Linked DNA regions of Alligator mississippiensis. The protein of the gene in region 1 interacts with the protein of each later gene in a biochemical or structural test. Links are inferred from orthologs where the notes say so. Each region holds a gene or a part of one and is shown on either strand. Other genes may lie near its edges.

What was found.
Region 2: of the proteins of UBE2I (region 1) and TRPS1, one has a biochemical effect on the other in vitro, tested with the Homo sapiens proteins (2 studies listed by BioGRID). The link is inferred for Alligator mississippiensis from reciprocal best matches to the Homo sapiens genes UBE2I and TRPS1.
Region 3: the proteins of UBE2I (region 1) and MITF form a complex in vitro, tested with the Homo sapiens proteins (2 studies listed by BioGRID). The link is inferred for Alligator mississippiensis from reciprocal best matches to the Homo sapiens genes UBE2I and MITF.
Region 4: of the proteins of UBE2I (region 1) and DAXX, one has a biochemical effect on the other in vitro, tested with the Homo sapiens proteins (5 studies listed by BioGRID and IntAct, with this or other methods). The link is inferred for Alligator mississippiensis from reciprocal best matches to the Homo sapiens genes UBE2I and DAXX.

The regions. Positions count from the first base shown.
Region 1 is NC_081836.1:59,500,052-59,507,760, reverse strand, and holds the start of UBE2I (SUMO-conjugating enzyme UBC9), read right to left. Parts: upstream 3,016-7,709; 5' UTR 2,913-3,015; coding exon 2,893-2,912; intron 1-2,892. UniProt on the Homo sapiens protein: Accepts the ubiquitin-like proteins SUMO1, SUMO2, SUMO3, SUMO4 and SUMO1P1/SUMO5 from the UBLE1A-UBLE1B E1 complex and catalyzes their covalent attachment to other proteins with the help of an E3 ligase such as RANBP2, CBX4 and ZNF451.
Region 2 is NC_081826.1:25,711,907-25,719,751, reverse strand, and holds the start of TRPS1 (zinc finger transcription factor Trps1), read right to left. Parts: upstream 3,013-7,845; 5' UTR 2,617-3,012; intron 2,281-2,616; exon of another isoform or gene 1,908-2,280; coding exon of another isoform or gene 1,898-1,907; intron 1-1,897. UniProt on the Homo sapiens protein: Transcriptional repressor. Binds specifically to GATA sequences and represses expression of GATA-regulated genes at selected sites and stages in vertebrate development. Regulates chondrocyte proliferation and differentiation.
Region 3 is NC_081835.1:6,396,782-6,403,640, forward strand, and holds the start of MITF (microphthalmia-associated transcription factor), read left to right. Parts: upstream 1-3,844; 5' UTR 3,845-3,885; coding exon 3,886-4,109; intron 4,110-6,859. UniProt on the Homo sapiens protein: Transcription factor that acts as a master regulator of melanocyte survival and differentiation as well as melanosome biogenesis.
Region 4 is NC_081834.1:64,839,794-64,847,035, forward strand, and holds the start of DAXX (death domain-associated protein 6), read right to left. Parts: upstream 3,004-7,242; 5' UTR 2,975-3,003; coding exon 2,766-2,974; exon of another isoform or gene 2,642-2,765; intron 2,271-2,641; exon of another isoform or gene 2,181-2,270; intron 1,997-2,180; coding exon 1,678-1,996; intron 1,255-1,677; coding exon 396-1,254; intron 146-395; coding exon 1-145. UniProt on the Homo sapiens protein: Transcription corepressor known to repress transcriptional potential of several sumoylated transcription factors. Down-regulates basal and activated transcription.

The DNA.
Region 1 (7,709 bases):
GCCAGTTCTTAGTTTTCCCTCAATTTTGACTGCAAGAAGGTAATAGAGCAATTCTTCTGTTGCAAAGACAGACCACAACAGGTCACAATGTTTTTAACACCCTGCTTCCTATTTGAAATCTGAGTTTATCATTATGTTTGCAACCCTAGCAGTGCTAACATTGCATGGTACTCCATGGCACCCTTGCAAGGATCTGACGGCATCCCAGGGTGCCATAGCACCGTGGTTGAGAATCACTGGTCTACTCGATTAAGAGATGTGTAAGCTTTCATAAGCAAGAGTTCATTTCAGCAGATGGCTTGAAAGGACACGCACAGAGCAAACTGTGTCCTTCTACAGCACCTGATGAAGTGAGCTCTTACTCTTGAAAGCTCATGCACCTGTAAATCACTTTCTGGCAGTGGTCAGCAATCTGTGGCCCCTGGGCTGGATCTGTGGCCACTTCCCGCGCCACTGCAGGGATGAAGACTGGCTGTGGCAGGGTCCTAGTGCCCACCTGGCCACCTCCAACCCAGGGTGGGTCATTCCACCCCACAGCTAAAAACGTTTGCTCACCCACATCTAGAAGGTGCATCCACACTCAACTTCAGACTACCATGGCTAACTATCTCTCTATACTGATTAAAGTTAGGTAAGTAAGAAAAGGATATTTGGATTTCACAATGCCAGAATATTTGCAGATTACCAGACACTGTACGTGCCATTAACCATCTGTAGCAAAACTGGATTTAATAGAAAATAAACACAAGACACTTTGATACTAATACTTATTTCAAAATATTCTCACTGTATCAAATTATAAAATAATTAATTTCATTTAGTGAACCAAGGTCAGCCCCAGCAGAATAAAGATAAATATGCAGTAAACCCTACCATCATCATAATATACTCAGTATTTCATCCTCAGTTTCTCCCTACCTGTTGCCAATCACAGCATGAGACAACAGATCTGTTAAAGCAATTGATGGTCCTCTGGGCTACACTGCAACCATCGGTTAAAAAACCATGAAAATCAGTTATGCTTATGGCTTGATACAGTATCCCTAAGTTTCAAAGGCAAAAAAAAGGTAACAGCTACTCCTAAGAAAAATATTAAGGGTCAAGTTTTGTTTGCGAATGCACAAATGCAAATTCCACAAGATTAACGAACAGTTATATCAGAGCAAATTTAATTAACCCATGCATTCTGTGACCCGCGTGGTACCAAAAAACCACCAACAAACGGCGTTTTCCAAAAAGTGACATGCTGCACCTTCATCTTCTATTTCATTACGGTAAAATTTTGTACTTCTTTTTCTAGCCTTCCTGCCTGCTCCAGCAGGTATGCACCCTGCTATGGACTAACAAGCCTGTGATTTTCTTATTATACAGCATAAAGTTCCCCTCATAGTTCAGTAGAAGGCATTAGATTCAGCTTAACACATCCATCAGAGTTCAAGTTAAACTATTCCCAAAGTGACCTGCAGACAGTGAAGTATTTTTTGTTTCCAACGTAAAAGAGACTATATGCAGGACTACCATCTGCATTAATGGTTTTATACACTTATACTTCAAGAGCAAGTTGAACTAAAATTTTTAAAAGGACCATAACACTATTACATAAATATTTTTCCTCTCATCTAATAAAGTTGATTTCCTACTTCTACCCACTCTCCACTCAATGTAAAATGGACATAGTTAGCTTCACTAATATGAGCGGGAAAATTAAGGAAACATTTTTAAAAGCTGTCACTGCTAAATATTACTATGATTTTTATATATTTCAAAACAAATAATCATAGTCATTAGATAGCACAACATTTTCACCAGCTTATTTCATTCAGCAAGTTAGTTTAGTAGGCAAGGAGAATATTTTAAAAAAGAAGAGTAACTTTAGACTTAAATTCCATTTTCAGAATTACTTAGAAATCTTTTAATTTCTTACTAGAGCCATACAAATGGATAACATTGGACTAGTCACATGATAATTAGTATATAAATCCAAAAATCACAAGATCTTTCACGTTATGAATTTATTTTCAAAATTTGTTCTTTTATAATTTAACTTGCATCTATCATCTGAGCTCAAGCTTGAAGACCTGGATATGGATTTCACAGCATACATATAGTGTCTGAGTTAACTGACTGTACAATAGAAACTAAAATGTTATCCCTGAAATTAAAAAAAAATACAGAATTGGACACTATAATACAAACCTAAATACAACATTTAATTGATTTTCAGAGCCTTTTTCTAAGGCTTATGACTTTCCAAGCAACTAGCCAGGAAAGAGGCTTGAAACAAAAGATTTGACAAAGAAAGAGATGTCAATGGAAAAAACCCCTTAAGAACCCCCCACCCCAAGAATTGGCCAAACATGATTTTAGCCAAGCTCACATTTCCTCTGCACCGAAGCGTAAACAACCCGAGCGGCAATGTGAAGAATCACGGTCTTGGTCTAGAGGGTAAGGTACAAGTCAGGTCTGCTTGGACTAAATTTCGTTCCCAGAAATGCCACAGGCTTCCTGGGTAAGTAACCACGGGCAAATCACTTCAAGCGACTCAACCTAGACCTGGACCAGGTTACAGACTCTCACATTTTCGGAGGCTCCCCCTAGCTGAAGAAACGTTTCTAGGTTCTCTCTCAATGTCAAGAGTTTTGAAAAGCTTCCCTTGAAGTGTTTACGCTGCAGGTTCCAAACACGAGGCCCTGGGTACGATCAACACTCCCATTCCCCAGATGTATGTGCTGCCTGTATTTTTCTTTCTGGACAGACAGTTGCAGATACAGACTTTACAGACAGCCAGTTTAACTTTCTTCTAGTAATGTAACTTGTAAGTAATACAATTCAAAGCTGGCCGCTTCATTTTAGTGTCTGCTTATTCACCTGTGGAAGTGGGAGATCACACACCTTGCAACATGTGCAGCCATGCAAAATGAACTGTGAACACATCAAAATCCTCAGGCAGAAAGTACCACGGACTTCTTATGGGCACTGACAGAAGATCTCTATTAACTTTAACCCTTTCTCATTCCAGACTCAGAAGCAAACCAAGAACCCCAGGGAAGATCTCAATGCTTCTGCTCTGGTACCCTGCCTGCTGGCACGCAGCAGCGTCTAACCACGCTGTGTGACAGAGCGTGAATGTAAACACCGCTTTCTTCCTCAGCGTGCTCAGAAGCACGGGTACGTTCTGCACGCTGCTGCGAGCTCGGCCCTCCGCAGCTCTTCCGATCGCTGGCGAAGAGTCCTCGTACGGATTATACCCCAGGTTCCACTCACTCCTAAAAACCAAATGCAAATATCTAAAGCTCGCCATATCCTGCAGAATCATTATTCTAATAATTCTTCTACGAGGACACAAACACCTGCTACTAAGGGAGAAGCCCTAGGTCATACGGGGCCAACAAGTGGCACGCGACAGACGGGGGGGAGCAGAAAACAGAGCAGCAGGTGGGGTGAGGACAGGGAGCGGAGCAGTACTCTGGGAGGTTTCATTTGTGGCACATCCACCAAAAAGGCTGGCCCCGCTGGGCCAGGTCACCATCGTTCGGAGGGGAAACAAGTTAGCCAGGCCTTCGGCAGCGTCCGGCCACGCCTGCTGCTGAGGCCAGCCCCGCCGGGCGAGACCGGAGAACGGAGGACCGTGCTCGAGCCCCCGTTCCAGCCCGTCCTTCCCGCTTCTCCCTTACCCCGCTCCCACAAACGGCGCCGCGCTCCTTCCCTGCCGCTCGGCTCCGACCGCGGTCCTCGCGCCTCCCTTTCGCTTCGCCTCTCGCTCCGCCCGCGCGGCGGCTCCAGGAGCCAAACTATGCGTTTAAATCTGGAGCAACGACTCCCGCCGGCTCGCCCTTACGTAAAGAACGGCGCTTTCCTTCCTAAACGTGGTCGTCCGCCGCCCCCGAGCGCGGGGCCTCCCCCGCCTCGGCAAACACCTCCAGCCCGGCCGCACCCGCGTCCCGGCCCCCGGGAGCCCCGGCTGCGCGCGGGCGGGCGGGCCCGGCCCCGGCCCCAGCCCCAAGCCAGCGCCGGGGCCGCCCCTCGTGCCGCACGGGGCCGGGCCGGCGGGAAGTTTGCTGCGGCCCCGCACAGCGCCCCGCGCCGGGCCTCGGCGCCGCCCGCGCCTGGGGCAGGGCCCGCGGCCTCCCCGCGCCGGGGGCCGGGGCCGGGGCCGGGGGAGGCCGCGCGGGCCGGGGAGGGGGCCGGGGAGAGGCAGGGGGCGGCCCGGCTGCCGGCACCGCGGCCCGCCCCGGCCGGAGCCGCCCCGCGGGGCCCGGAGGAGCCGGCGCGGCCGCCCTTCCCCCGGCCCGGTCCGGCCCTTCCCTTCCCCCGCCGCCCGGCCGGGCCTCACCGTGAGCGGCCGCAGCACCCGCGCGTGTCCCGGATTGAGGCGGCGGCGAGTGACCCGGATGTTCCCGGCCGCTCCCCCCCTTTGTCTCTGCTCCGGACTTTCCCTCCCTCCTGCTCGGCGCGGAGCGCGGCGGCGCGGCGTGTCCCTCCGCCCGACCCGTCCGTCCCGCTGCGCCGGCGCGCTCTGACCCTCGCCCCGACCCGTCCGCCACGCCGGCCGCCCCCGCAGCACGTAAGACCCGCAGGTGGCCAGGTTAGTGCCCGAGGCGCGCGGCGCTCCCGCAAGTCTCGGCTGCCCGGCCCGGCCCGGCTAACTCCGCTGCGCTCCGCAGCGCGCTCCGCTCTGCTCCGCTCTGCTCTGCTCAGCCCGCGGCCCTACCGGCCTTTTCCTGCAGGCACCGAGGTGGCCACCTGCGGCCTCAGGCTCTTAGGACCCCGGCCGGGGCGGCGGTGTGAGGGCTCGGAGGTGGCGCCGCTCGCCCTGGCCTCCGCCCGTCGTGCGGGCAGCCCTGCCCTGCCCTGCCCTGCCCTGCCCTGCCCTGGCCTGGCGCGCGCGAGGACGAGTCCGCGGCCGCAGGGAGGGGCCGAGCGGACTCCGGGCGGGGGGCGGGCCGGAGAGGCCGGGGCTCGCGGAGACCAGGCGGCCCCGGGGCGGGGGCCGCTGCCCGCGCGCGTGTCGTGTCCGGGGGGCGCAGCCCGGGAAGAGCCCGCCCTCGCCGCGGCCCGCTCCCGGGTGGGGGGCGCTGTCCAGGGCCCGGCCCGCGGAGCCGCGCCAACCGCTGCAGCGTCCCGCCCGGCAGCGCCGCCCGCCCCCGCCCCGCGCTCCCCTGCGGCGCGGCGCGGCGCGGCGCGGCGGTCCCGGCTCTGGAGTGGGCCTGGGCCCGCGCCGCCCCGGGGCGCCCGGCAGGGAGGTGTCCCCGGCACCCCGGGGCTGCCCGCCACGGCGAGGGTGAGGGCGAGGCCGGCGCGGGGGACGCGCTCGCCTGCGGCACGAGGGAGGCGGGCGTCGCGGACGCGGCCCAGCCCGACGGGGCGAGCACGTGCCGCTGGCATCGCGGCACTGCGGCCCCGGGCACCCGCAGCCCTGGCGGGAGGCGCCGAGCTGCGCGGGTCCCGCTCCTCGCAGCGGGGGGGCTGCGGCCAGCTGTCCTTGTGGGCGTCTGACCGCTTAACGTCGCGTTGGGTCTGGCCCGCGTTGGGAGAGACGCTGCCCCTGCGCGGCGCGACGGCCGTGCCCTGCCCTGCCCTGCCCTGCCCTGCCCTGCGTCATCGGCCTCTTGCCAGCGTACCGGGCAAATCAACGGCTTAGATTTTTTTTAAAGCCTATTAAAGAGCCGTAGAAAAGCAGGGCTGGACGGGGGCTCGGAGGTCGCGCGTCCGATCCCCTGCTCGAGAGAGGATCCCTCCTGACAAACCGACCTGGTTAGGCGTTCCTCGAACCTGCTCCGAGACGGCGAGGGGTGGAGGTCCCCGCGCCGGTCCACGCGTGACCACCCTCGCAAGGAAACGCTGCTAACTAACGCGTAGCGTAAATGTCTGTGGCTGCAATTTGAGACCGTTCTTTGTCCCGTCTCCTGTGCCCACAGAGACTAACCCTCCTCTAACTTCCCTTCAGGTATCTGAAGACTTATCGAATCCCTCTCAGCCTTCCCTACACGAAACGCTCCCGGTTCTTTCAGCTTTTCTTCCTAAATCCAGATTCCCAGATCTCTCATAATTTTTGTGGCTGTCCATAAAAGTCTAATCTGTCCACATGTCTCCGTGCGATGCTCAGACCTGGACGGAGTATGTCGGACAAGGCTTCACCAGCGCTGTCAAGGGTGCGAGAATCCCGTCCCTTAATTTGTATTTAAATAATATTCATTCAGTACATACTTTCTGTCCAAGTTTAAGGACAGTTTAAACACCTGAACTAGGGAAGTCACTGGCCAAGTGCCTGCGTGGTATTAATGCAGCCCAGGACGTGGGGCTCCTTGGTTTGGTTTGGTTTGGTCTGCAGCAAGACTCATTTTCAACTTACGGTTCACTGTAGCCCCGGGGTTCGTCCCTGCAGCCTGACCACGCGTTCCCGTTCCCAGCCTGTGCTTGTACCTGTGATTGCTCCTTCCTACCTTTAGGACTTCTGCGCTTGTCCTTATTGAATTTCATTCAACTCATTTTGGACCAGCTTGTCAAGATCATTCTGGATCAGGGGTGGGCAGTTACTTTGGCTGGGCCTACTTAATGAGGTTTGATGAGCTGTTGAGGGTTGCGCACATCACAGTCAAAACATCTACTGTAATGTGTTTGAATAGTTCGAAATAAAGTCCTACTCTTATATGTGGGGGCAGCGCTCGTGCGCTAGGTCCTGGGAGCTGACCGGCCGTGGGGGAGGAAGGGGGAGCGGGATGCATGCAGCAGAATTCATGCGGGCAGCGCAGGTTCAGGTGTGGCTCATCCCACCCCACCCCACCCCGTCCACAGCGCTCCACATGGGGCCAAGCCCACCAGACAGCACCGCCTGAGCCCCGGCCGGCACAGCTGCCCAGCGGGGCTGCTCTTACAGCTGCCCAGGTACCACTCAGCTCCCCTGCCTCCTCCTGCGCCTCTCTGGGCAGCAGTAGTGCGGGGAAGCCGTAAGGACCCGTGCTGGGAGCCGGGTGCCCAGACAGGCCAGGGAGAAGCTGCGGCCAGGCAGCTCCTGCCCCAGTGTGCAGGGCTCCGGCTCCTGGATGCCTCCCACCCGTTCAGCTGCCCACAGGTGTTCATTACACTGGGAGGGCAGGATGGGTGGAAGGCAGCCAAGAGCTGGACCCGGAGCCCTACACGCTGGGTATCTGCTGCCTGGCACACGTCCCCACGGCTTCCCCATGCTGCCTGCTGCCCCGAGTGGCACAGGGGGCAGGAGGAGGAAGAGCCACTGGAGGCAGGGGTAACTAGCAGTACCTGGGCAAGTGTGACAGCAGCCCCGCTGGGAAGCTGTGTGCCCTGGCTGGGGCGGGGTGGTGCTGTCTGGTGGGCCTGGTGCAGGAGCAGAGCAGACTCGGCCCCATGCAGCGTGCTGCAGGGGCGGCTGCAGGCTGACAGTCAGTTGCTGGGCGTCTGCTCGTGGCCAGGTCCAGTCAGTTGGCAGGCTGCATCCAGCTTGCAGGCCATGTCTTGCTCACCCGTTCTGGATCCTAGCCTCACCCTCCAGTGTCTGCACCTCCGTCCAACTTGGCATCATCTGCAAATTTGCTAAATGTGCACTCAGTCCCATCCTCCAAAAGTTCAGGAAGCTATTCAACAGCGCTGGACCCAGGGCAGATCCCGGGGAACCCATTCGATGCCTCCTTCCAACTACACATTGAGCTACTGGTGACTACACTTGCAGCATGATAATCCAACTAGTTATGTAT
Region 2 (7,845 bases), on another chromosome or scaffold:
ATATTCTGAAACAGCAGGACAGATGATAACATGAGTGTTGCCTTCATATGTGAAATTCCTCCTCCTTTTAAATATAAAACATAATATCTTGATGTCGTAAATATTTTAGGCTTTAATTTGTACGTGAGTATCAGTGTACTGATCAACTACAGTATGAGTGACTTTATGAAACTTGCTGAACAATCTACAATTTATCAAAAAACTATATCTATATGTAACTTTTAAAAACAAAAAGGAAGGCCGACTTTCCCCTTCCCTTTTTTTTTTTTGAACTGTTCCACTTATTTGGATTAACGATGTTATTAACAAACTTTCACTCGGTAGTTTAAAAAAAAAATCTTCCAAAGTGTTGATATCATTTCCAGACAGTCTTGTCAGCATCACAATTTACAGGAAATAGTTGATGTTCTCAAACAAGCCCTGTATTTACTCATAGACCCACAGTACTTTAAAAAAATCCTCACTCTTTTGGAGTTTGTTTTTTGTTTTTTTTAAATGTCACTCTGGTGGAATATCTGACAGAGCTCTCTAACCTAATGTACGTATTGCGAACATGAGGAAAACACTGTCTACAGCTCAGAAAGAATACTGTAACTTTTATTCTCATTTTGTCCACGTCAGAAACTGGCTCTTACCACTACTTTCCTTTGCTGCCCCTTGCATTTTAACTCTGGCAGTTTTCTCAATGATCAACTTTTCCTAAAACCAACAGGAAAGTAACATGATGCCATCAAGATCCATAGGTTTCAATTGCGTAGTTGAAAAAAGCTGCCTGAATGGCAAAGATTTTGATGGCTCCTTTATAGTTGTAATGAAATGGATTAAATGAAAACCAGGCTCATATGAAAGTACTGTTTATTACACGTAGCATCCACAAGATGCTAGGTGCTGTACAAACTAGGTATGGGCCAAGCCCCAAGGAGCATACATATCTTGCATCCTCTGTGATGTGTCCCTTTGCATCTGTCGCTTGCTCACTCATACTCTGTTCTCCTCACCACAGTGTCCTTGCACTTGTGGAGGAAGAGAAGATGGACTTAAGAGGTCCCTTCACTTTAACTTATGACTTGGCCCCACATTTTTCAGTCAACGCACTTCAGAGCATTGACACTGGTGTCTGGAATAGCGACCTGATATTTTTTAAGTGAATGGGCCCCTCTACAACCTCAGAAACAGAAAACATACAGAAGTCCTGGTTGATTAAAACACACCTTATTTTTCTATTAACCCCCCCAAACAAATAAATCAAACCTCCCCAAATATCAACGAGAGGCTCTGCTTCATGCGCCGCTCAAGTCACAAAGCAATTCTACGCTGAAAAATAGCCCCCTGTCACTGCCAGCATCCCACAACTTTGTGGGTCTTTCTGGAAAGTCCATTTGGATTTTCACGGCCTTTCCCTGGGTCCCTTCTCCCCTGGCCAGGGCCCAGGGACGGGGACCCAACCGAGCGGTGCAGAGCCCACCAGATCCCACCTTGCCTGGACACTGCAGCTTTTTACCAAGCCACAAATGACCCCCCCCAGCATCACACTCCCCCTCCTCAGAAGTAGCCAGCCTGCCCTCAGCCCCATTCGTTCAGTCCTAGCCTAAAAAAAAAAAAAAAAAAAGTCTGTCAGACAAACAGATCCCTAGTGGAAAACACAAGGAAGGGGGTGGGGGGGAGTGAGGAAGGAGACAAAGTTATGGCAACCATGGCAGGGCTCAGCATGGGACTGCGCTCTGAGAGCACAACTTTGCCTTTAAGAGGAAAAGTTTTCCGTCGCTCTCTGCTCTGATTTCAAAGGGAAAAAAAAAAATCCACCACCACCATGTCGCCTTCCCCCCACCATCCCCCCCCCCCGGTGTGACCAGGGCTTGCTCTTCCCCCCAAAAGAGAAAGTTGGTCCCAAACTTACTACTCTTCATGCTGGTCTCTGTGCCCCGCTTGTCATGATTCCCAGTAAAAACTTCCAGCAGCAACAACAACAGCAGCAGCAGCAGCAGCAAGGACTGGGTGACTGCAGCTCATCGGATGCAAGATCTCTTCTCCCCCCTTGCCCAGCGCCCCGATGGGGGGATCCCCCGGGGAGAGCTCCCCCCGCACAGCACACCCCGGCCCCGCAGTGCCCCGAGGGGTGGCTGCTGCCCCCGGGGGAGCCGCGGGAGGCAGGCGGAGAAGGGGGTTGTTTTCCCTGCTCTCTCCGCCGCCTGAACTTGACCCTCCTGACTCCGAAGGGGCTACTGCAGTTTGCAAGTCGCCAATTCCCAGCGATCACACATGGCTTTGACCCACCAGAGGACGGGGAAAAAAATGCACCCAAAAAAAAAAAAAAAAAAACCCCACCAAAACACACACACACACACACACACACACACACACACACACAACCCCCCCAAAATAACAGAGAGAGAGAAAGGCTGTGAAACCCGAGAAGCCCCCGCTTCCTCCGGGCCGTGTGACACCCCCCCTCCCTCACTGTGCGTGTGCAAAGAAAGTCACTTTTAACCCCCCCTTGCACACGCACCAGCGCTCAGCACTCACTACATGCGCAACAGCAGCAGCCTCCCCCCCCAGGCCTGCATCTGCCCTTCCCAGCCCCCAGCCGGCTGCTCGCCTCTGCTCCCCCGCCTTTACCTGTTGATTAATCGGCAATAATAATCTCAGCAGCCTGGAAGATGGTGGAGCTGTGGCTTGAGCCATGAACCGTCTTCTGTTGTTTGCAGAGTTGATCTTGGATGGCTGGGGGGGAGGGGGGGAGTGCGAGGGTGAGTGTGTGTGTGCAAAGGGGGAAGGGGAGAGGGGGGAAGACAGAGAGAGGAGAGGAGGGGGGGATTTTTTTCCCCCCCTGCCTTTTCCCCCCTCCCCTCTGCCCCCCTCTTTGCAGGGAGAGAGAAAGGGAAAGAGCAGGGACCTGGATGTGCCTGGTGCGTGTGTGCAAGGGAGGAGAGAGCCGAGCCGGGGCTGGGGAACAACAGCCCCGGAGGAGGAGGAGGAGGCGGCGGAGGAGGAGGAGAGCAGCGGGCTGCAGATCGGCTCTTTATCAGAAATGTTATCGCTTGTCAGGACCTCCGTCTCCGAGCATTACGTCAGTTTCAAGACACCAACACTATTAATATCAAAGGAGCCTTCGCAGAGAAAAGCGCCACCCCAGCCGGAGCGCCCTTAAAGAGACAGTGCAGCGTCCCCGGCGCGCTCCGCCGGCGCAGCCTCCTGCTCCTCCCCCGCCCGCGGGCGGCAGCAGCCACCGCTGGGGGAAAGGCGGCTTTGGACTCGCCCACGTCATTCACAACTTTCCTCCGTGTGATCATCGCCGTCCGGAGGAGTCCGCTGCCTCCTTTCCGCCGCTTCCCTGCTGCATTGAGCAGACAGAGGGAGATGTGGGGGGCAAAGTTTGACCCGGGGGGGGCAACTCTTGATTGTCCTTGCTGGTCCTTACCCGAGTGAATGGCCATTCCTTAATGTGGTGCGACCTGTGCAACCCTTCCTGACACTCGCATCCTTCTTCCACCTGCAGGGAACCTCAATGTGCCATGCCGAGAGAGCAGGCAAGGTTTTGTGGGATGGGGGAATGGGATCTTTTGCACTGGGTCAACTGGAGAGTTGGGGACGTGGGTCTTTGCAAGCTTTCGGGTGCAAACGCCCTTCTTCAGGCATAGGGAGTCCGCTCCGGATAGCTGCATCTCGGGGGATTCCTCTTCCTTTTGAGCCGGCAGTGCAAAGTGTGGGGCATGTGGGGCTGGGGGATCCTATAAAGTTTTTTTCTGAATTGGAAAAGAAGTCAGAGGGATATTAGTTGAGCACCCTGATCTCCTTCACAGAGATCCCTTCAGAGGCCCCTGAAGTGTCTTACAAGAAGATGCCAAATTGCTGTTGTGGGTATTGGTGACGTTCCAAAGGACTGACCGCCACAAACGGGGCGAGATACAAAATTGAAGCAGTCCCTGCCCCCAAGCGCTTACAATCTCAGAGGTGCAAACATGGAGCAGACAGAGGATTGACCGAGACGTCTAGATTCCATTCTTCAAATGAAGATTAAAGTTTCAAATTAGCCTTCCAAACTTTCAAATTATTACAAGCCGCTTCTCGGTGCTCCGTGATCATCACAGGCACAAGACAACCCCAAGCTGCTCTTGAGAAAATTCTTCACACTTTTCTGTGTCTATACAGAATCTTTTCAATTAAAAATAGTCAGATTTCTCCCATACCAGAAGTGACTAGCAGTCAATGTCTCTAATGTAAAAAAATAAAATAAAATCTCCAAGGCAAGGCAATACATAAAAGGTTCCTGTGAAAGACTTTTAAATCCCAAATATAGTAGGTGTCAAAAACTATGTAAACATTTGTTGAGCATTTCGACACAATTTTTCTGCAGTTAGGTGACTTTCTGTGGCATGTTTTTCCTTCCAGGCAGGTCATTTTTAACTGATTTCATATGAAAATAGACACATTCCAGTTACTTGCAGCTAATAGTACATTTTTAAAGTGAGAAGCTGAAAAACCTGTTAAACAATTAAAATATTAGTTACAGATGAACATATCCCCCACTAGATATTTTTACATACCATAACATTTTCCTTACAAAGTTATTTTCAGGGAAATCATGAATTATAAAGCATAAAGTCCTCAAAGGTACAAACTGAGGCAAAATGAAACCTACTGTAAAATATATGCCATTTTCAGCCTCTTCTCCAGGCTTATACATTCTTCATTTATGTTTAGTATAATATACTGGCAGATTTGTAAAGTAATTGCTCATGTAAATCACCTAGCAACACATTTCCCCCTTAAGTTCTTTTGTAGGGCTGTCTGATAAAGCACTTTATTTATAAAAAGCAGTAAGTCATGTACAAGAGGGAACTCGTCAGGATGGAAAGGGTAAGTAAAATATAGTTCCACAATGAGGAACACAATATATTCCCCAAAAGTGGGAGAAGAAAACTGACATATTATGTGTGGGACTGACTATATTCCCATCAGCAGAAATTCATTTTGGAACAGTTCTGATGTTTATATATGGAATGCAAAGAAAAGCAATACCAAAATCTTTCATAAAATTTAAAGTCTGGTACTAATGACTACCTGTATATTTTAATACCAGAGCAATTTGCTATAGCACATCAGAAATATGCACAATGAAAGTACTTTTGGAGAACATAAATCTTCACTCTTTTTTTAAGTTGAAAATGTTGTTCTTGAACTTATACAGGCAAGGTTTAAAAATCATTTTAATAGTTTCAGTCATTGTGAAATACACTAGAAGTAACTGTTGTGTTCTACTGAATATAACTAAATATTTTTCTCCATCCTATATAATTTAGATTTTTAGCTAAATACAACAGGGCAGAGTAAGCAATCAGCTAGCAGTTCAGTCCTGTATAGTAAGGATTAAAATTAGCAGGTACTTGGCTGATGGTTTGGCTGAGCATCTGACAAGCAGGGCTTGAATGGAAAATATTTAAACAAGGGTTAGTCCCCTTTGCTTCTCTGCTCTATTAAAATTTATTAAGCAAATGTTTCTGCTATAAAAAGGGAAATGATGCCCCTTCACACTTTCAATCCTATCCAGGCTTACATGTACAAATGCAACAAAAGTTCACATTGAACTAGAAGAGATAAAACATGGGAAAGTGTGATAACTATGGAAGTACTGTACATGCTTCAGCATATGTAAAACTTCCTGACACTGACATCTTCTTTCACCTGCAGAAAACCTCACCAGAACGATAAGTGATTTATATTTTAAATGCTATGAAAAAAATGCATCAAGGTTCTTTATTCTGTATTTTTAATATTAGAATAGTAAGAGTGCATTTCATACGTAACTGCTAGAATAACAAATTGCTTCTTCATCGTTTAAATAGAAAACTTTAAGGAAACATGGTATTGCACAGAGAAGTATGCTACAGTATCTCTGTAAAATAATGCTTGCATGATGCATTCTGCCTTTGGAGTTAAAATAAAGCAGATCAAGAAGACGTCAATATCAATCTGTTTATATTAACCACAAAAGAGCTGTGGAGAACTTAATAAAAGCAAAAATATTTTCATAAACTTTTTCAGGCAAATTATTTATTTATGAAATAATTTACAATGAAAATTTTTACCTCATGCTTTAGATACATTGCATATGCTTATGATTGACACAATATGTTCAGCTCAAAGGCCCGTGCAGCATTTTTTTTATCTTAGCAGGAATATTTCAAAATAACTAACTAATTCATGAGGTCATACAGTAATTGTTTGACAGTTGTTTTTAATATAGAAAATAAGCTGTGTATATTGTTTTCATTCAAATATTTGTTGATTTGTCGTTATAGTCCTTTGACATTGACATGCCACAAATTTCATTATGAGAAATATCGAAGATTTGTTTTCATTTATTATGTTCTTCTGTCACACATTTGCAAAGTCACCTAAAGAAACTTGTTTCTTTCCCATTTATTTCAGATCCATATTCTGTGTGATATTAGGTGGCTGTTGAAATAAAAAAATCCAGCATTTTATGGCAGGTAGGAACTGAAGCAGAAATTAATAAAACAAACAAAAAAAAACCCAACAAAGCAAGAAAAAGCCAGGAAAGTTCTACTTTCACATTAGAAGCATGAACAATGTAATTTCTAAATAATCCTCCATTTTTTACACTCAAGCACGTTCTCTATTGAGGGAGAATAGAAAGGCCAGTCATAATGGCTTTTTGAAGGAAAACAGTGTAACAGCCATTGTTTATCGAGATGACATAAACATGACATTTATGCCTTTATTGTTTAATGCAGTTTTTCTTTTTCTTGTAGTTTACTCAGTGTAGATACAAAGAGGGATTAACAGGTAAGCACAAACATTCTTGTTTTACTATTTCAGACTTTTAGTGCAGAACTTACTTACTTGAAGTGCTAGAGCCTATAATCACAATGATTTTACCTGATGGAACATACGTTTTAGAAATTTAATCCAACTGTTTACCCTAACACATCATAAATTGCAATTCTTTACAAAAACCTCAGAGATTGACATCCATTGCTCTTAAATGCCTGCTGTTTTAGCACACATCATCAAGAAAATATTTCTGTATTATTCTCCCTCCAGTTAGTAGTATATCACATGAATCCTAGAGACCGTTTTCTTTTACTGTCTTCAGAAATGAGCATTTTGAAGTGCACTTGCTTGTGTGTCTCAGGCACTACAATGTAAGTTTCTTGGGAATATAAATAATGTATATTACAGAATTTCTGCAGACCCACTTCATTTCATTGCACCAATTTTGTCACATAAAACCCTCCCAAAAGTTTTGTCCTTTCTTATACAGGTACAGAATCAAATTTTCGAACTTCCAACAGTATACTAAGGTGGAAGACAAAACATTACAATTGATTTTAAAAAGGAACAGAGTTGGGGACCATAATGATGTGGTTAAAATGCCTCTGAAAAGAGATTATGTATGGTGATGGACAGGATAGCACTAAAAACAGCCAATTAAACATCATGTAACAGACAAATTAATAATGTGGCATGAACCCATATTCAACAGATGTTTTCTAGGGGGACTGAATATCTGGTAATGGGAAATGGAGCCTTTTACTTCTATGTCACCATTTTTATACAAGCCAGTAGTGAAGGAAGGCCATTAACATCTGATGGGTGTTTGGTGGCCTTCTCTATTGCATCATGAAAAAAAATGTCCTCCACAGCATACCACTACTACATCTGAACCAGCACCAAAATATGTCATCACACTTACAGACAGTATCATAGATTTAGTAGATTTCATAGACATTAGGGCTGGAAGGGACCCTGTGAGATCAGCAGGTCCAGCCCCCTGCCCAAGTGGCAGGAAGTCAGCATCAGCAGAGAGGACATAGATTAAAC
Region 3 (6,859 bases), on another chromosome or scaffold:
TGAACTTCTCCAGTTTTTACACTTTTTTTTTCGCTTTGTTTGAAAAGCAGAACCCTCCCAAAACAGAAAAAATAGGTTCTTGATTTATGCTAGCAGTCAAATCATAATCTCTGCACAGCCCTGGATGAACAGCTGGTTACTAGGGCTGTGCGAAACAGCACTGTTTCATTTAGACTTCCGGTTCACCGTTTTGAAGGGACAGTTTCGTTTTGCTGTTTCGAAGTACTGTTTTGTTTTGTCAAAACCGTTTTGATGTGCTTTGCCTGTAGGCTGTAATGGGGAATCAAGAAACTGCCTGTAACTCGGTCGTTTCTTTTCTGATTCAAATCAAAACAGCAGGGATGGTAGCCCCTGCTGACCCCACAACACCCATCAAGTTTTAAGGAGATAAGTTCAGGGGTTTCTGGGAAACGACACCTCAAACTGCTGAAAAGCAAAAATCGTGACGTGTGTGTGTGTTAAGGTGCAGCGGGGTGAAAACTGCAGGGATGATGGCCCCTGCTGAGGTCACGAAGCCTGCCAAGTTTCAAGGAGATAGGTGCAGGGGTTTCTGGGAAATGGCACCTCAAACTTCAGAGCAAAACTCATGTCACTTTTAAGTGGGAAGGCACAGAGAAAACTCTGTTCAAACAATGCCTTTTATGCTGTTTTTCTGTCCCTCCCCCAGAGCACTGGGATTGGAAGGGACCTCAGGGAAGGATCACGGTCATTGGCCAGCTACTTTCCAGTCCTGGGCTGGGCTATGCTGTCTGCTTCAGAGAGCAGGGCTGGCCCTAGCTGGAGCAGTGAGGGCTGACTGACAAGGGGGTGGGGGGCAAGCCTGGCCGGGGATGCAGTCCAATCTAGGGGGGGGGTGGAGTGGGCAGGAAGGGAAGACTGCGCCCCCCCCCCCAGGCAAATCCTAGCTGGGGTGTGGGGCCAGGGAGGTGGGTTAAATACCCTTTCCCCTGCTCAAACATACTGGTTGCCACTCTGGACTACAAATCCCAGAGGCACTTGGAAGCAAGAAGAAGTAATGAGCAACCCTGCAGAGTCCTGTTATTGTGATCCTGGACTGCAAATCCCAGAGACCTCGGGGGCAGCACATAGCCAGAGAGCTGTGCTCTAGTGGCTCAGGCCAGAAGCCAGGGGCCACTGCGGGCACGTGGCTGCCTTTCCTGAATCAAAGGTAAATTTCTGTTCGCTTCTGTTTCAATTTAATCTGTGCAGTTAAGACTAACCTGCAAAGCCTGACTTGATTCAGCCTCAGGCTTTTTGACTGTCTGTACTTAGCCCTAAAGTTTCATTGCAATCCATGGGTTGGGTAACGAGAATAAAACTGCTAGTGTGCGGGTTTTAGAGCATCGGTGCCCCATCCTGCTAACTCCATGCTTTTATTTCATGAATTATCATCAGAGTAGATGCATCTCCTCTGTTCTGGTCTGCCGTGGTCAAACCCTTTTTGTATAGCCAATGAACAAGTTGAGGGAGGTAAGTCTAATGCCCCGAGCAGGACCCTGATTCCAAAGGTCTTCACATCTCTTTCTGCTTGGAGGTCTCCCACAGAGCATGCTTTGCTGTGTCAAGCTGCACTCTTCTCCAGGTAGGCGCTGGATTGAACAGGTCTGCTAATGCAGACAGACACCAGGGCTCCACTCGAGCGCGGAGCTGTGCTTGGATTGGAGTTGCCACGGTCTTATCTGGAGCCACCCCTAGAGACACATCCCTTGCCAGGACTCGAGTTTGACTTTCACTCTTCTCCAAGGGCTTGCAGAGCACCTTAAAGGGGGGGGGAAAAAAAGATGGAAGCTTTTAGAGTTCAGATGTTCATGCCCTGCTCCTTTGAAAGCTTGTATCTGTAAGTGCCACTTTATTTGAGAATCAGCACTCTGAACAAATGGTATGATTGGGCTTTTATTGTAATGATTTTATTCTGCGAGTTAAAAATACTGTGCTTGTTAACTTGTCATTATCTTAAAGCTACAACAGCTGTGTGTGACTGCCTACGATAAAGATAGAAACGTTCAGGAGGGGAAGCAGAAACACTCCTTTAAAAAAAAACCAAAAACTTGAAATTTTTAATGCTAAATGAATGGGGATAAAAATAAAAGTAGTGTTTCTGGTTTTGTTTATACACTGGTTAATGCCTTGACACACAAGCACATGTAGGAGAAATGTTCTTTGTGGAATCTCCTTGGCATTGTATAGCTTACCTTGCTTTCCTTTCCTCTCCTCCCTCCAGATTAAAATGGGGCAAGAAAAATATTTCAGTGTATCATTTTCTACCGATTTATATTATTTTAACTAATGTATTCAAAAAGTCCTTTCCTCAGTATATTGAAGTGACAGTCCTCTTGCTCTCTAGTGGATACATTTAAAAAAAAATCCTTTTATTATGGTGACCTTTTCAGCTTTTAGTTGTATCTTCCTTTTTTGCATTTACCTTGCAACTCAGTGAAATGGTGATCAAGCTTTTCCAAACAGTACCTAAAGCTGTGTCCCCAAGTGAATAAGCATTCAAGCAAATCAACTTATAGCATTTTATTAAGTCAAGACTCATGCAAAAACCACCTCCAGAGCTTAATAATTATTTACTGAATGTTCTTGGGTCATGAGAGAGGTTTTCATTAAGTTGGAAATGCATTATGCTCACTAGCTTGTGAAGGTGTGTTTAAAGACAGAGGGGAAAAACGGAAAAATACTAAATGGTGCACAACTGCTTGCAGAATTTTAATTAAAAAAATCCATGCTTAACAGACTCTTGAATTGGCAGGTTCTGTCTCTAATTAAACAATTATGATGCAATGAACTTCTTGTTGCAATCAAAATTAATTTTTTTTTATCAACACTTAATTCTTGTATTGCAAACATTTTTTTTTTTTTGTCTTTTCCTGGACACTTCTTGAAGGATGCTTTTTATATTCACTTTGCACCATCTGACAAAATGCACTTTCGGGTAGAATACACTTGTTTGAGTGTATTGTTGCAAATATGCCTAGTGTTGGATTTAATCTTAAATGCTGATGCTGGAGGGAAAGGGTTCAGAGCAAGAGGGGTTTGTGAAAAGTAAAGAAAGGATTGAAGGAGAAAAATACGTTCAGGTCGGTGATGAAGCAAGTGCCACGGTAAGTGGCATTATCTCCAAGAACATACGTCACTGGTAGATGTGGAAACCATACTGCTGCTTTGAAGTAAAACATTCTGAAATGCAGTAGCAACAAAAAATAGTGTGTAGACTTTATCAGCCATTATAATAGAGTAGTTTTACCAGGTTTGCTGTTCTGTCCTTGGCAGGAAAGGACAGAGCTGCGTGCCAAGACCTTTTTTTTTTTTTTTTTTTTTTTTTTCCTACATTGATACTTTGAGCTCTGCCAGCCAATGGGAATGGCGAAAGGAAGTGTCACTTGGCGCCCCCGATCATTTATTAAGGTTTGGAATGAAGTACAAAGTGCTGCGAGTGGAGCACAGCGTAGAGATTTTAGTGTAGGTAACCACAACAGTGGTCTGCCGAACTAAAAACAGCAAGGAGGAGCCAATTTTTTTGTAATCTGGTTCTTTTTTTTCACTTTTTCCTGTGGGGCAGCCTTGCTTAGTTAAGCAGCAGAGCCACTGGCTGCTCATATGCAGAGGTTTCATTATACCTTTGTGTGGATTAAGTAGTAAGAAGTTCCTGTGAAGCTTTCTTTTTTCCTACGTAGAAAGAAACTGTAAGATGGTCTGTGTGAACTTATTTGATAACCGACGTTTTATCTTGCCAATATGAAACTTTGCAGGTACATTAATTAGACTTTTTTTTTTTATAAACATCGCACCTGTGAATGAAGCAAAGTATTGAGCTGAAAAGCTGCCAGTCTTGGATCTCTTCTTAAAGTTGTTTTTCTTTTTAAATTAAGCAACAAGGGGTGCATGAACAATATACGTGGGTATCCCTCACGTACTTTATCCACGGCACAAAGAAGTGCGGTTATTACACGTAAGCCGACAAACACCGGTTTTCAGACCTTGCATTCTTTTGCACCTGCCTTTCCTAAGGGAACTTCAGCTCGGTTGGCATCTTCACAGTGCAAAATCCTAGACACTGCTGCTGCTTCTGGTAGCTTTTATTTGCCAGCCTTAGAGTCCCTGGCCAGGTAATACCTCTAATTCCAAATCAATTCTTAGTTTTTGGAGAATGGCAGGTTACTTTGTGCTTGTGCTCCCCTTGCTAGCATGGCTTTTAGTGCTTTTAGTGTGGTTCTTGAGAGCCCCCTATCCTGCTCCTGAGCAGTAGGCAGGCTCTGCCCCTGCCTCCTGACAAGCAAGCTGTTTTATAGCATCTTTATTACTCCACTCCCATCCCCTCCTCCCAGATTTTGAGCAAGGGCAGTTCAGACACCTGTCCTGTTTTCGAAGCCACTGCCTCCCTTTCCCAGGTCTTGCAGGGGTGGGTTACATTTCAACCTTTCCAATTTATGTTTGAACAAAATCCTATCGCTGCTTTTGCCTGGATTAATAGATCGGCATGGAAGTCTACCATGTTGCCGATGAAGTGGCCTCTTCAGTACTTGGATCTCTCAAGGTCATTTAATTTTTTTCCCCACCTTAAAGACTGATTCTGTTCATTGCCTGCTTTTTAAACTAAGCTGTTTGGAAGGTAAGGTGCCAGATCCCAAATTAACTCTTTGGTCTGGAGCTGTTGTAGAGCAGGGTGCAGTTTTATCCTCCAGCATTCAAACACATGCAGTGTTTTGACACTCGAAGTATAACAACAGTAACTCTCCCCCCCCCGATCAGCTTCTTGTTCTGTTGATCAACTCTTTAATAGGATGAGAGATTAAATTGCAGCCTTTTAGGGAATCCCTTTAACACTCATGCTTTCTTTTTTTCTTTTGTTCTAGAGCCTTTTCATACTTGCTGGGCACATCTACACATTCATTAATGGGCTTTTGCTACTGTATATTAAATTTACTACCTCTAATGTGAGGTACTAAATAAATGTGCATTAGGCTGCCTTAATGTGCAGTAGCAAAAGTGCACACTTTTTTTTTTAGTGACACAATGCACAGTAGCCTATTTTTACTGCACATTTGCTTATTAGCTTGGTTTTTTGACGTGACACTTTAATGCACAGTAAAATAGCCTCCTGCACATGTGTAATGTGCCTGCTCGGTAGCAAACCCAGTTAAAAACTGAAATCTCATGCACGTCTCTGTGACTGTTCAGTTTGAACCAGACTAGACTAGCGCTGTATTTTGGGTAGGATCCACCCATAATCTAGAGTTTTCACCTGGTTTCAATTTGGGGAAATAAAATGCATCAAGTTTTTTGGTTTAAGGTTTTGAATGAATTCACAGCTGAACATCAGAGTTAGCATGTGAAATGAGGGTGGGTGAGTGGGGAGCAGAAACTGTGTTTGCTGTAACCGTTGTCTCCTAAACTTTGCTTCAGATCATGCTCTGGGCGAGGAAAAAGAAATGGAAAATATGAGTGGTGAAAGCTGCGGCTTCCAACTTTGTTCCTGTCACACTTCTAAATTGTGGGACAAATTGGGAACTAAAGGTGCATTGTTTGACTTAAAGTTTTAGCTGCATTTCTTGATAAGGAGTGGATGGAGACTTGAGTGATCCCTTTCACATGTCACCTTGCTCCAAGTGACACTTGTTGTTCCAGGATCAGGATGGTTGAATGATGATCACAGCGGTGTCCTTCATGGGTGTATCTCTTGGCTGGGTTTTTAGGATTATGATGACCATCTTCCACCTCCATTCTGTCATTTTGCATGCATGGATCAACTCTTCTATAAAGGGCTTCCCAGATTTGCGTGCCACCTTAATGTTTCAAATGAGATGGATGATTAACTAAAGTTTTGTTGCAAATTTAGATTGTTGTAAGTAGGGTTTTATGGACACTCAGGGTTCTAGTAATATATAGAAGCTGTGGATATATAACGTTTCTTGAGAGTTTTTTAATCAAAGAAACTCATCTAATCCAAAACTGTTTTGCAAACCAGCCAGCATGTGAGCGCCTGCAACCAAAATTGACTTGGTATTGAGTAGCGTTTTCTATCTAAACTGAGAAAAATATTTGTATCTGAAACAAACAAATTATTGAGAGATTAAATGTAGAGCCTAATGATGTAGTGTTATCAGTAAGAGAGTAAAGAAAACTTTTTATTGTCAGAATAATGTAACTTAATCTGACTAGTGTGTTTTCCATACAAAGTCCCTGTATAGTGAGTGATATGTACAGTCACTAACCTCTTCTAAAAAGAGAACAGATTTTGGACTCAATAAAATTTAGTGATTTATAGGTATGACTCCATCTAGACTGGCTTTGTATCATGCATTACACTTGTAGGAAGTGCCTAGTAATTGTGTTGCTCATTTAAATACTGTATCCTGGAGTTTACCTCCTCCTTTGTTTTATAGATTTCATGATCACATCCGGAATACAAGATGAAGTTTTTTATTTAGTTTGATTTTATGTTGTGTTGTGGTCAAGCATCCTCATTCTTGAGGCCCACATGACTAACTCAGTGCCAGTTTTGAGAGACCCAAAGAGCCCATTCAGATGATTGGAGATTGCTGAAGAAATGAATTTGCAAAGCCCCTCCATGGTCTGTGGCAAGCTGAATGCTTGGAGCTAGTTGCACACTTTTTTTTCAGCCAGCTGCTTTGATGAAAAATTTTGTGTTGACTGACTAAAGAGATTTTTTTTTTTTTTTAATTAATTTTTTTTCTTACCCTTGGGAGAGGGGGAGGACAAAACTGTTGGCTGAATGCTGTTCAGGGAGAGGCCTACCTCTTCTGTTTATCACCCTGCACCTTGCTGTGGGTTATGGTGAAGGAGCGTGCAGATGAACTGTGGGTAGCAGTCTCTGTGGTAGATGCTTGTATGTCTT
Region 4 (7,242 bases), on another chromosome or scaffold:
CGTCTACGGATCCTTTCTTCCTCCTCGCTCTCATCCTGCAGCTGGGCATAGTGCGAGATGACGCTCTCCAGCCGATTCAGGGCTGTGGTCTGGTTCTCCCGCAGACGCCGGGCCAGCATTGGGTCCGTCAGTGCAGGATCTGTACCTACAACCACGAGGGAGAGGGACAAATAAACTAAGCATCCACAGCCCAACCTTCTGCTCGAAAGGCACTAGCGTCCCTGCAACCAGATTAGCCAATAGACCCCACAGCACGTAAAGAAGAGGCTCAGTGCTCATCAGCGGGGTCCTCTGTCTACCACCTTGTGTAAGCAGGAGAGAGGCACAGCTCTCCCTGGAGCAGCAGTAGACAGAGGCCCCTTGGGCCATGCCAGCCCCACACACCCTGCACTCACCAGGGCGGTAATGGTCGGTGAGATGGCTGCCAAAGTTGTAGATGAGGTCGAGGTGGCGGCGCTCCTGGAGCCGGTTGCCGACATCCCGAAAGGCATCCTGGGCCATGCTCTCTATTTGACGCTTCTTCAGGGCTAGGCCATGGCGGGCACTGGCCTTCTGAATGACCTTGAGGATGTCAGAGTAGTCAGGGAAGATGTCAGGACGGTTGATGAAGCGCTCGATGCGACGGTTGACCTCTGGGTAGCGGGTGCCACGGTAGGGGATGCGCTGCTCGATGACGCGCCCGGTCAGGCTGCTGCACTGCTTCAGCTCGCACAGGCGCTCAAAGATTCGCATCATGCGGCGCTTGAGCCGGCTCTCCTGCAGGTAGGTTGAGTCCTCGCTGTCCATCTCCGTCAGGTCCAGCTCCCGCTCCTGTAGCCGACGGATCTCCCCCATGTAGATGTGCAGCAGGTTCTCCAGGTACCGGATCTGCCGCTTGGAGCCTGTCCCATGCCGCCCTGCCCCAACCTCTGCCTCCATGGCTGCCAACTCGCTCCTGCCCGCCTCAGTGTCCGCTGTCTCATGCTCCTCAATGTTGTTCTGCTCCTGATTCGTGGCAAGGGGTGGGCAAGGAGCGGGGACAGCACTGATGGCCAGCTTACGGCGCTGGGTGTTGGCCTTGAGCACAGTGCATACTTCATTAATGTAGACATACACCTTGTGGTGCCGGGCCTGCACGCGTGTCAGGCAGCGGCTCAGCACATTGCGGAATTCAGCTGAGCCCAGGAATGCGGGACTGGCCTTCTGGTGCCGGCCCGTCAGGTAGGGGACCACCTCGGGGTGCTCCTCCGTCAGCTGGGAACAGCAGGCTAGGAACTGTTGGTGACAGACGCACAGAAAAGAGGCAGGTGGGGCTGGGGTCAGCCAGGCACGGTGCTCCAGGAATTGAATGGGGTCAGGTCAGGGTGGGGGTGGGAAAGGGAAAAGATAGGCAGGGAGCAAGTATCAGTGCTCCACGGACTAGGGGAAGGAAAGCAGGCAGGTGGGGAAGGGGTCAGGGGTCAGCCAGACACGCTCCAAAACCTGGGGGCACAGGGGGAAGCCAGAGGGGGTGACAGTGAGCAGCTGGGGCCTGGGCCCCGCTCCACCTCCCCGTGCTGGCACAGGGGAGCCCCCCTCCACCCCCAGGGCAGCCTGGGGAACTGAGCACAGCGCGCTGGGCAGTGTGCACTGCAACCCACCCTGGGCTGGGGATAGAGAGGACCAAGGAGCCTGGGCTGGCATGCGAGGGGAACTCACGTCGGCAAACAACTGCTCGTTCTCAGCCTGGAAAGCGCCCCTGTCCTGGGGGGCCGTGGCGACAATTGTGGGACCATCCAGGGAGGCCTGGCTGGGGGGCGGGGGGGAAACGGCATGGGCCAAGGGGCCATCCTGGGGGGCGCAGCTGGTGGGCAGGGGGGAGGTGGTGGGCGGGGTGGGCGGCGCCTCATGCCCCTCGTAGTCGTCGTCGTCCAGGACAATGATGCTGCCGTGGGGCGCGGCCGCCATGGGCGCAGGCTCACAGCGGGGGGGCGCAGCGCATCCCAGGTGGGCGGGGGGCACCTCCGCGGGGATGGACCTGCGGGCGGAGGGGCGTTAGCACCACCAGGGGCCCCCACCCATCTCCCCGTAGCCCCGCCCCCGCGGGGCCCGGGCCCGCGGAGCCCGGCGGGGGCGGGGCAGCCGCACGGGCCCACGGGACGGGGAAGGAGGGGTGGGGCCGGGCCCGGGGCAGGCGGGGCCCGCCCCCCGCGCGCCCTCACCCGCCGCCGCCGGCGCTTCCGCGGGGCCCGAGCCACCGAGTTCCCTCCGCGGCCGCGCGCAGGACCGGAAGCGGGCCCCAGTGTCAGGTGCGGGCGCCGCCATGCCGCCGTACGGCCGCGCCGGGCCAATCCGGGGCCGCGTTCGCATCCGGGTCCTGGCCGGGCCCGCGGCGCCGCCATCTTGTTGCACGGCGAGCGGGGGCGCCCCGGCGCGGTACGCCTCCCATCGACCCCGCCCCCGCGGGCCGCGGCCCCCGGGTGGCTCCCGCCCATCCTCCCTCCCGCCGCCGCCGCCGCCCCGCGACAGCGGGAGGTGCAAACCGGCCGCCCCCCCGACCCCCGGGGCGCCGCCATTTTCCCGCGAGGAGAGTACTTCCCGGTGTCGCTAGCCACATGACCTCACTGCCCACGTGACACCACCCGACCAATCAGAACGCCGCACTCTAGCTTCCCCCGCCCACCGTTTAAGAGGCGCGGGCGGGGCATGACTTGGACCCAACCACCTTCCCGCGCGGGGTGGAGGGGGCGGGCGTTCCTCTCCGTTGTAGGAGGGGGCGCGCGCCACTGCGGGGGTCTGGCCGATACCATTCCCGCAGGGCGGGGGGTACGTGCTCTGCGTCTGCTCCGCTTCCGCAGAAGATGGCGGCCTCCACGAGACAAGCCATTAATAGCGCCGTCCACGCGCCGCTCCGCCGCGGGCTGCTAAAATGGCATCGGATTGATAGCGACTCAGCGCGCATGTGCGCACCCGCACCTCCGGGCAGCTGCGTTGGCGGCCCGAATGTTCTGCGCATGCGCTTCCAAGTCCGTACAACAAAATGGCGGCGCCCAGGACATTTGCAGTTTCGGTCAGGTGGGTGGAGACGGCGGCTGCGGAAGGCCAGAAAACCCCAGTGCGGCCAAGAGGTGGCTCTATGGCCCTCCCGGGGCTTTGTCAAGCTGCACGGTCTGCAGCGGCGGGAAGCGGCCCAGAGGCTGTCTCCCAGGGTCGGGCTTTACGGTTACACGGTGCATCTGAATGGTGCTGGGGGGGCTTTGCTGTCAGGGAACAGATCCACCGCAGCTGCAGCTCCGAGGTGGGCAGTCCGTGCCGCCTCTTTCAGCATGGAGCTGTCCACTGCCCCACGTGTCCCCGCAGCCGCCACGTGAAACCCAAGGGAGCGGGGCCGGGCCCTCGTGCCTCGGGGTCACTGCAAAGGAGCGGGCATTTGCAGCACAGCCGGTGCGCCAAGATGTCCATCAACCCCCCGCGGTGATGGTGGCAGCGGCCTGCGAGCCCTGGTGCAGGAAGACCGCGAGCGCTGGCTGGACACCCCTTCTCGTTCCCTGTGACTCCGGGTGGAAAAGAGGCTCAGGATCCAAGCCAGGGCCTGGTGGCAAAGCCGAGGCACATACTGCCAGGTCCCTCGTCCGACCCATTGCACAACTTCCTCAGCCCCCATCCACCGGCAAGCGTGAGCTTGGAGCAGGCCTTGGCCCGCAGACACCACAGGGAAAGGTGCCCGGCCCAGTGCAGATCCCCAGTCGCTTGCCTTGGCACGGCCATGCAGTTGAGTCCCAACTCATAAGAACACGATCGCCGCGCCCTGGGTGAGACCCGGTCGTCCTGCCCAGTCTCAGGGTGGGGAGTGAGTGCTGATGGGGGCGGTTGGTTTTCCCCCTGTTCCTCTCCCACCTGCAGCCTCCAGCTTTTCAGGTCTGGAAACCTCCGACCCAGAAGCTGTGCCCCTCGCTCTTGTGCTCCATAGTGACTGATGCCCCTCTTCTCCAAGGATGTGTCCAAACCCTTTGCAAACCTGGCTGAACTCGCAGCTTTCACCACATCCGGTGACAAGGAGTTCTGTCCTTCAATTGCACGCGGCATGAAAGACAACTTCCTGTTGTGAGTTTTAAAAGTCCTATCCAGTGCTATTATTTTGTGACCCCTGGTCCAATTACTTTTCCATGCTTTACAATCACTTAACAAAGCAACAGCATGCCGAGTTTAGGCCCTGACGAAGCTACATTTCATGGTAAATTTAAAATTGAGCTTCTTTTGAATGCTAGAGTCATGGCTGCTTCATTTTCTCCAAGTTGGTGGCTCTCAACCATCTCAGACTTGAAGCTCCTTCAATAGACTCCAGGCTGCCCTCAAAAAGTGGTAGCCCTTAATTTGCAGGTTTTTTGAATGTAGAAAATAACAGAGCAAATTTTCTGGTGCAAAGACATAAGAAAGATGCAACAGGCCAGACTGTTCTTAGCACTATGAATCCTGATGAAAAAGCTCGGGGTTTACTTTGCCAATCACATTCGCCACCTAATAGCACGAGTGTTGTGTGGCACTTTGACTCACCCCTGAGAGGATCTCACAGCACCCTGGTGGGGAATCACTGCTCTAAGTTCCTAGTCCAGCAGATGGAGATGGTCCTGTTACCTATGACCAGAACTAGCCCTGTCCATTGACAGTGAGGCTTCTGATGGGTCATCTACTGCACTGGGTAGTCATCGAGAAATCAAACAGAAGGAGGGCTGGAAGAGACCTCCAGAGGTCACGTCTTATTCAGCCCCCTGCCTGAGGCAGGATCATCCCTGTTCAAACCATCCCTGACAAATCCACAGTCTAAACCTTCACCAGCTTTTGCACTCTTACTCTTTTGACCTCCTTCTACAGTGACATCTCCAATATCTTGTGGATTAAACAGCTTACAATGCATTCAATCTTTCCCCAAATAAAACCTGTTAGAACATGTGATGCCTTCCATTTAGGGTAGATTCTTGCTGATGCCTCCCTCTTTTACACACTGGGTTAGCACATCATGCCACATAATCATTGAACACACAATACAGTCATGCGTTTCCAGCCAGCATGTTGCATAAGAATTGGTTAGTACCCTCTTTCTGAGCCTAGCACTGACCTACGAAGCACCCATCTGATGGGAGCCACTGGATACATCACCTGTTCTTTACCTGTTCAAGGCATTGGAGTGGAGCATTTGCAACCCAGCAGGGCCCACAGGTCTGGCTCCATTATCCCCCAGTCTTGGTGTCTCACGGCAAAATCCGAAACCTAGGCTGGGATCTGTTGATTCAACCCTCTTAGACACTTTCCTAGCATCAATATTCAAAGCGCTTGGACCTTGCATGGATACTACTACCCACAAGACTTGTCCCAGATGGTATGAATTCACAGGTCCATGTTTTCACTTTCTTCTCTAAAGTGGTTTCTAGTCCAGTCGTCATTTTTACTGTTACTTGGTACATTTTAGGCTTATTATAATGGCAACCTGTACTTGCCATGGCACAACATTGTCAAAGGATACATGTGGCTTTTCAGGAGGGAAACCATTGCTATCTGCTGTCCCCATCACGTCCTGGTTGTGCTGCCACCGCTTGATCCATGACTGCTTATTTGTCAGTTACCCCTGCTTATTGTGCAGCTAACCTTTCATGAAGACCATTTCACTCTCTGCCACCTGTGCACACCAGCCCAGCCCCCAGCCATGGGCCTACAAGTCCTCAGTGGTGCAGCAGGCAGAAGATGTTCGAATCTCAATGGCTGCAAAGGCAGATGAAGGCTGCAGTGGACCAAGATCCCCAATTGTCTTGGTTTCCTTGCCATTGGATCAAGATCTCATTCTGTCAAGCTGATGCACAGCAGCTTCTCCATGATAAAAGAAATAATGTACAAGCATCTTCGATGGAAACAGTTTTTCCAGCATATTCTTTAAGTCCTCCAGTGGGCAGCACCTAGTGATGATGGGAGCAGGCCTGTGAGATCTGGAAGCTCCTAGTTATGAATTGGCATGATGATGGCAGTTACAAGAAGGTTGTGTAGCACTTGGAGCCAGGACTGCAATCTGATGGTTGTCACTGTAACTGAGCAGCCCTCTTCAGGATCTGCTCTGCTTGCCCCCCTTGGGAAGGGGCCTAGAAAAAGTTGCTCTGGTTACCTCTTTCCTAACTGCATAACTGCATTCAGTGGGATCCCCTTTGCTGCAGTCAAAATCAACAAAGATACGCAATCAATTTTGGGACCTGGAACATCAGGACCTTCACAGACAATGTTAATAGCAAATGCCCAAAGTGCTGCACCACAATTGTGGCTCAAGAGCCCAGGTGACACAGCATTGACATCACTGTCCTAAGTGAGAACAGGTGAATGGGAGATGGGCAGCTCAAAGAACAAGGAGGCAGCTATACTGGAAAGGTAAACAGGAAGGAGAATGCTGGCTTCATGGAGCTGGTTTTTGCCATCAAGAATGAACTCAACCAATGCAATGACTTCCCTGTTAGAATGAATGAGCACCCCAAGACTCTCTGTTTTAAACCGGCAGGAATTCAACATGTCACTGTCATCCATCCCCTATGCCCTGACTCTTGACCCTGCTGACAAAACCAAGGAGGAATGTTATGCCAACCTCGACCAAGTCCTTTTTGGCATTCCAGAGGAAGACAGACTTATTCTTTTCAGCTATTTCAATGCCAGAGTTGGAAGAGACTCAAACCTCTGGACCAGAAGCATCAACAAGAAAGGAGTGGAGAAAAGTCAACTCCAACGGCATACCCCTTTTGACCAGATGGGCAGAACACAGACTTGCCATCACCAACGTCCTGCTCCACCAGAAAAATAGGCACAAAATATGGCAACACCTGTGATCTAAGCATTGGCACCCGATTGCCCACATCATTGTTCATGCCTAGGGTGACAGATGTCTGCATCACCTGAACTATGCTAGGAGCTGACAGTTGCTGGACTGATCGTCAACACATCTGCTTGGTTATATCATTCAGACTGGCTCCGAAATGACAGCTGCAGCAGAGGCAATGCTGACAGGTCAGTAAGGACCCAATCAAGCACAATCTCTTTCACCAGTGCCTACGTGAAAACAAGGACAATTCCAATCAACAACAGTGGGAGAATGCCAGCAACACTTCAGATGCCTTCAAGTCCACTGGCTTCTGCACCTGCATGGAGACATGTGGATTCACTAGCAGGAAACATCAAGACTGGGTTGAGGAGAACAACCAGGAGATCCAAGAGTTGATCGACCACAAGCGCAAGGCCTTTTGTGCTTGGCAGAAC